2 linked regions of the Sus scrofa genome follow. The protein of the gene in region 1 purifies or fractionates together with the protein of each later gene. This does not show direct contact. Links are inferred from orthologs where the notes say so. Each region holds a gene or a part of one and is shown on either strand. Other genes may lie near its edges.

What was found.
Region 2: the proteins of MAP3K14 (region 1) and TIMM13 purify together in Homo sapiens (affinity purification with mass spectrometry; 3 studies listed by BioGRID and IntAct, with this or other methods). This does not show direct contact. The link is inferred for Sus scrofa from reciprocal best matches to the Homo sapiens genes MAP3K14 and TIMM13.

Annotation. Positions count from the first base shown.
Region 1 is NC_010454.4:18,180,572-18,183,813, forward strand, and holds the end of MAP3K14 (mitogen-activated protein kinase kinase kinase 14), read left to right. Parts: intron 1-302; coding exon 303-403; intron 404-729; coding exon 730-894; 3' UTR 895-2,360; downstream 2,361-3,242.
Region 2 is NC_010444.4:76,145,070-76,148,989, forward strand, and holds TIMM13 (mitochondrial import inner membrane translocase subunit Tim13), read left to right. Parts: upstream 1-1,876; 5' UTR 1,877-1,943; coding exon 1,944-2,063; intron 2,064-2,149; coding exon 2,150-2,218; intron 2,219-2,388; coding exon 2,389-2,487; 3' UTR 2,488-3,094; downstream 3,095-3,920. UniProt on the Homo sapiens protein: Mitochondrial intermembrane chaperone that participates in the import and insertion of some multi-pass transmembrane proteins into the mitochondrial inner membrane.

The sequences.
Region 1 (3,242 bases):
AGAGGCTGCTCCACCTCAGGGGACATTACAGTCTCACTTGCCCACAGTAATTTAAGAATCTCAGTCTCCAGTTCCTTCTGCTTTCCCATAGCAGCCAACCTTAGCTCTTTGCATGGTGTGGGCCAAATTCCCAGTGTCGACGGACGATGGCCAGGAAGAGCTGGCAGGAGTGTAACATTGCGGCCACAGCATCCTAAAGGCCGCCCCTGCAACGTCCTCAGAGCCCCCCCACTTCACTCCACGTTGGGTTCCTTAGGGAGCTCACAGCCGCTCCCCTGACGGTGACCTTGCCTGCCTTCCAGGTGTGAAAGTCCAGATCCAGTCTCTCAATGGCGAACACCTGCACATCCGGGAGTTCCACCGGGTCAAGGTGGGAGACATCGCAACTGGCATCAGCAGCCAGGTAAGGGGGCAGGTGCCTGTTCAGGGGCGGAGTCCCAGGATCCAGCGCGCCTCGCCCAGTCCTCCAGGAAAGAGGCTTTGGAATAAGTAGGAATGGCACTGTTGGGAGGTCCCCCCAGGGTCCCAGGGCAAGACTGCTTCCTCAGGGTCTGTACCTGGGCCGGGTCAGGTCTTCCAGAAGGAAAGGCAGATAGTGCAGATAGTCAGGGCTGCCGGCTCGGCCAGAGGTGGGTGTCTCCCGGCGCGAAGGCAGACCATCCGCTCTGTACTCCCAGGAAGCTTCAGCTCCCCTGCCGCTCTGAGGCCTCTGGTTTGCTCTGCCCCCAGATCCCAGCCGCAGCCTTCAGCTTGGTCACCAAGGACGGGCAGCCCGTGCGCTATGACATGGAGGTGCCAGACTCAGGCATCGACCTGCAGTGTACCCTGGCCCCTGACGGCAGCTTCGCCTGGAGCTGGAGGGTCAAGCACGGCCAGCTGGAGAACAGGCCCTAACCCGCCTTCCACCACCGGCTCCACTCAGCCAGAAGCAGCCTTCCTTCTTGGTGCTCAGTGCCACCCCTGCGACCCAGGCTCTGCCCCCAGGGGTCTGCCAGCCCCTAGCTCAGCGGTAGGACCAGGGACTGGCCGCAGTAAGGTGGGGCTCACAAAACACCTCCCAGGATCTCCCACCTGTGTGCTGCCTGAGCCTGCCTGAGGAAGAGGAGGAAGGCAGGAGGCCTCTTCCCTCTGGGAACAAAGAGGATTTTTCTGCCTTGGTCCTGACAGGCTGGCCTGACCCGTTAGGATCAGTGACTACGTGCTGGCAGTCAGGGGAGAACGGCTTCCACCGGGTCAGGGAGGGGTGGGCGAGCCCCTCCCTCAGCCTCCAGGCAGGTATGAGGGTGTGTAGCGTCTAATGACCCACCCGCAGGCCCAGTACAGGACTGGGCGGCAGGCGTCCCTGCCCTGGGGTTCATGGGGAGCCCTCTGAGCCCCTTGCCCGGTCTTGCCTGGCCATCAAACGCCTTTTTAGCTCCAGAAATTTTTCAGACCAGGTCAGGGAGGGAGGAGAGCCTGCCACTGGGGGATCTCCCGGGAGAGAGCACCCCACTTCTCAGGGTGCTGCAACCCAGGCCCTGAGCTGAGTTCAGCTTCAGCCAAGGACCAAAGAAGTCGTTCAGGTGACATGGTTCTCAGTGCCTAGGCACGTGCCCCTTTGCTGCTGGCCACCAGTCCTCCCCAGAGCAGCATCCCCTGAGCCCCAAGCGCAGGCCCAGCACTGCCCTGACCTAGCTGGCCCGCAGCTCCCTTGTGTGTAGAAGTGAAGTCGGACACGAGGCCTCTCGGGACTGGTGCACAACAGACGCGAAGGAAAGCGGCGGACACAGGTGCTACTGTTCCCCAGGCCGCGGCTCTCAGCATCTGCACCCCAGCTTCCTAAGACACGGCTCGGGCACCACGCTCACTGACCCTGTCCCCCCTGGTCTCGGGGGCACTGCCAGCTGCACTTTGCACTCTGATGACCTCAAAGCACTTTCGTGGCCGCCTTCCAGGAGAGGAGGGCAGGCCAGGTGACAGGACTCAACTCTTGACCCTTCTCCATGCATGTGACCCATCAAGCTTCCTCCAGATGCCTTTCAGATGAGATGCCACCCCCACCCATCGCCTCGGCCTGGCCTCTTCTTTTGGTGGGGTGCTAATCCGGACTCATGTAGCATTAATCAACTGTGAATCCCTGTGTGGTGAGGGGCCTGCGAGCCTCAATTCCTGGGGGTGAGAGGGTGTCCCCTGAGAGTCCTCCTGGGGAGAAGTTCATCCCCACATTCACCAAGGTGGCCTCTGTCCACCTATCCACATCGAGCCATAGTGCTCCCCAAGGGGAGACCCGCAGCCCCTGTTCCTGCAGAACCACAGCCTTGGTACTGTGGAGTTCTCGCGGCAGGGGACTCTGAGCAATAAAGTTTGGAGTGATAACTGTTTAGGCCAAGGTTGTTTCCACTCTTGCCTGTCCATTTGCTGAACCTCGTGTCCTAACAGCTGCCTTTTTTTTTTGGCCTGGCCCATGGCATGCAGAAATTCCTGGGCCAGGGATTGAACCTGTGCCACAGCAGTGACAACAGTGGATTCTCAACCCACTGAGCCAGCAGGGACCTCCTCCCTTTGCATTCTTGGTGGGATCTTATCAAGTCTCACCCCTTAGGGCCCTTGAGCAGGGCTGCTTTTCCCACCACCCCTCCCGGTGGGTGCTTCCCATCCCACCTCTGGGCTCTCCATTCAGACCAGTTAGGCAAGATAACCCCACCTGGTGACAAGCAGGGAAGTCCCTAGCCAAACACCGCCAGGCTGAGGGGAGCGGGAGGGGGACTCCAAGGCCTGGGCACTGACCAGGCAGGACTAGGTGGGGGCAGGGCCCCGGAACAAAGACTGCCCCCACCCACTTCCCATCCCTAAGGCCTGGCTTCCTGGGAACTGAACTGAGAGTGGGCCTGGACTGCCGGTCCTTGCAGCTGCTCCAAGTGTCCGCAAGTCTCTGAGTCTCTGTCTGAGCGGTCAGAGATGACTTTCCCAAAGTGGGTTCCTTGGTGGGGACACAGGACTTGTTTGAGGATGGATGCCGCCCACACATAGGGTACCTTGTCTAATCTTCTCTACACTCAGCAGGCTCTGGGAGGGTCCTGAGCCTGGAAGGGGCATCAGCCTTGTGCCTGTGTTCCCTGGGCCAGTGCGAAGTTCCACCCAGCAGACCCCAGGCTTACCGGTCTCTGCCCTCCACCTCTGGACCTGCTGCAGAGCAGAGATGGCTCCGGAGAGGGGCTCCTGCTGTGGGGAGAGGTGGAGCCGCTTTCTCCAGAGGGCGCCCG
Region 2 (3,920 bases), on another chromosome or scaffold:
CTGAAAGCGGGCAATTTCTATGCAGCCTGAGCGCCAGCCCCTCGGACTTCACTCTGCCTCCTTTCCTTGGGAATTGCTCACCACAAGGCCTGGCCAGGAAAGTGCCCATGTGATAAAACCAGCGCTGCTGCTGAGTCCACAATCTCCCCGCAGCCCCTGGCTTTAAGTCCACAGCCACTGAGCTCCTGGACAGGGACACCCCTGTGGAAGGAGACGCATCTCACCAGAGCCTCGCCTCTCGGGGAAGGTGCAGGCCCCTGGTGAGCATTTCCTGCCCTGGCAACGCACCATCCCCACCCAGTGTGTGACCTTCCCCAAGAGTGAGAGGCTTCCAGGCCTCTGAGGCCGTGGGCTGTTCCCCACCCCTCCCCATAGCAGGAAGTGAGGGCTAGTGAGGGTCTGGAGGGCGTGATGAGGTGCTGGGAGGGTGGGTGGAGGTGACCCCTAATCATGTGGAAACTGCACTGGGCTCAGCCACATCCTTCAAGGTATTTTGGAAATTTGGGGGTCAAAGCTATGTCCTGGCTTTTGGGTCTGAATTGCTGACACAATTTGGCAGGCAGGGCTTCTGGCCCAGAAGGAAGGGAGAGGGCCCTACCCTCACTGCCGGCCCAGAAAAACCAGCCCCAGGGTTGCACTGGGGCCTGCAAGAGCCCCCAGGCTCCCTGGCTGGGATTGTTCCTCGCAGGTGATTTGCCTCAAAGCCACCTTTTGGTCATATCCCTGCCCCACAGTTGCCTGGATGAGGTCTTGAGTGGACCCTAGAGGTGGCCCAGGCAGGCACTGAGGTGCCTTTGGTGGGTATGCTGGGCTGGTGGCCAGTTATGGCTGGAGTTGGATAACAGTTGTGGATATTCAAGTATTTGGAAACAAGAGTCCAATGTTAAAATGGCAGCCATAGCCTAGGAAACAATTTGCACTTGCCCTTTAACATGCTTAACTTTCAGCCATTTAAATGATGCCGAAGTGATTCTTTTTTCTAAGCCCTTGTCATGTGACTGCAAGTAACTGTAGCACCAATTTAGAGAAAACTCATTCTCGGCCCAGCCCAGGGAAGGAGTGGCCTACAAGGATGAGGTCGGCAAGGCAATCCCTGGGAGACACTGCTGCCTTTCCCCCGGGGCCTGGGTGCTCACCTAAGACTTGGGCGTTCAGCTGTTTTCCTAACAGCAAGGCTTCTGACTTGGGGTTTTTACTCACACGGTCTTCCCAGCAGTTCTATTTATATCAGCATATCCGAGTTGGGACTGACATTCCTCAAGGACATTAAAGCTACTGGAAAGGTCTTAATTCCAACCCGTAAGGGATCATCTGTACAACATGCTGGTGGACTCGGCTTCAAGAACCCGGCTGTCTGGACACATTTCAGACATCTGTGGGTGATTTTTAAGATGCATGCCAAACGTGTGTTTTGCTTTCTCCAATGATTTGTAATATACCTTTTATGACTGGAAACTTTTATACAACACTCCAATAAACATTTTGGTTTTAAAAATCTCCCTCTGAGTTCACTCCGACGCCAGCCAGCTGGAGCGGGAGCTCTCATCCTCTAATGTTCCTAGTTTGACCCGCTATCCTAGTTTTTGGCATTCCTCACCCACGGGTTTCACCAACGCCCCTTTGGCCACGTGACACGCCCATGTCCCTCCCCGGGCTCAAGGTCTAGTGTAGAAGTGCCCGCCGCCTCGTGCGCACGCGCGGCGAGACCCGCGGGGGGCGGGGCCTGAGCGCGGAACCCTGGGCCTCCATCCGTCTCGGGGAAATCGGCGGCGGCCTGCTCCTGTTGCGCATGCGCGGGACTCCCCCCGCGCGGTAAGGGTATCCCGCCCGCCCATGCTCCCTCGTGCCCGGACTCCATTTCCCGTGGGTCCACGGGGCGGCCCACTTCCGGCGCGGGTTGGGGAGGGCGCACGCGGCCGCACTCCAGTTGACTTTGCGGAGATATGGAAGGCGGCTTTGGCTCGGATTTCGGGAGCTCCGGCAGCGGGAAGCTGGACCCGGGGCTTATCATGGAGCAGGTGAAAGTGCAGATCGCCGTGGCCAACGCGCAGGAGCTGCTGCAGGTTCGGGGCCGGGCCGGGGGCGGGGCTGAGGGTGGTCGGGGCCCCTGGGAGAGGAGTCGCAACTGAGCGCTCGTGTGTCCCCACAGAGGATGACGGACAAGTGCTTCCGGAAGTGCATCGGGAAGCCGGGGGGCTCCTTGGACAATTCGGAGCAGGTAAAACCCAGGGAGCCAGACTGGTCGTGGGCCCCGACCGACAGGGAGGTCTCTGCGCCTGCGCGGACTAACGGGGCGGTGCGGTGGGCACGTGCGCAGTCCGCTGCTGGGAGTGTTGGGGGTCCCAGCCAGCGGTCCAGACCTGAGCCCCGCGCCCTCCCCGTCCCTAGAAGTGCATCGCCATGTGCATGGACCGCTACATGGACGCCTGGAACACCGTGTCCCGTGCCTACAACTCTCGGCTGCAGCGAGAACGAGCCAACATGTGATCGCGACGCGCCAGCAGCCCACTTCCCACCCCACCCCACTCCCAGTTCCATCTCCATAAATGCTGTTTGTGAGGCGGGGGCCAACGTGTGCGTGCTGCCTGCCAGAAGTTTATGAGGACCAGACTGGTGCTGGGACAGTTGGTATTCTGTTTCTCCGTGCCCCGTTCGCGCACACGTGCCGGCGAGTGTAACTTGCGTCTGGGGGGCCCCTGGCCCGGGTGGTGCCTTCCCTAGTGCCCCTGTTACCGAATTGTGTCATATGGACCCTGTTGGGGGCCGGCTTAGGCTCTATGTCTCCTAGGGGGTGTTCTTTTTCTGTTCCGTGGAGCCTGAAGCTGAGATGGACACAGCACAAGCTTTATTCAGCAGTTAAAGTATGGAGACGCGTGAACAAACGAACTCACAGATCAGCTTCTTAGCTGGCGAGAGGGGCTTAATTTTAACAAGGAGGCCTGTGTGTATGTCTACGCGGGAAGGGGCTGAGCTTTTTCCGAGGGAGTGGGGTGCCACCTCTTTTTTATCTTTTTTGGTCTTTAATGTCTGGTCGAGGCTGCGGATGCGTGTGTTATTTAATAAGCTAATGTAGTAAAATCCACACATAATGAGACAGCGTTTGTTGGAAGTCAGATTTGCCACCATTTTCCTCCCAGCAGGGTTTCGTGGTTTTGTTTTTGTGTGTATGTGTCTTCGTGTTCTATGCATTAGGATTAACTGAAAGTTAATCTTTAAAGATTTCTGTTCACTCCTACTAAAAGGTGGGGTGGTGGTTGGCAGGTTTTGAGCAGGGACCTCCTTCCTGCAAAAGGTCAGGGTGGATAGGTTGTGAGGAAAGGGCTGGAGCAGCTCTGGTGACAAACTACTCCCTTCCTTATTATTGCTCATTCCTTTTTTTTTTTTCTTCTTCTTTTTTTTTTTTTTTTTTAATGGCTGCAGGTGAGGCCTATGGAAGTTCCTGGGCCAGGGATTGAATTCAAACCAAAGGACTTCCCTTGTGGCTCACAACATAACTACATGGTGTTGTTTCTACAGTGGCTGTGGTTCTGTCCCTGGCTCGGCAATTTCCATATGCTGCAGGAGTGGCCAGTTGTTATAAAAAAAACAAAAAGAAGAAGAAGAAGAATGAATCTGAGCCAAAGCTATGACTTACGTTACACCTGTGGCAATTCAGGATCCTTTAACCTGCTGTGCCAGGCCAGAAACTGGAGCCGCTGCAGCCAGATTCTTAATCTACTGTGCCACAGTGAAAACTCCCTGCCCTCATTCTTTTTTTTTTTAATTTTTAAATTTTATTTATTTATTTATTTATTTATTTTTGTCTTTTTGCTATTTCGTGGGCCGCTCTCGCGGCATATGGAGGTTCCCAGGCTAGAGGTCGAATCGGAGCTATAGCTGCCAGCCTACGCTGGAGCCACAGCAACGCAGGATCCGAGCCG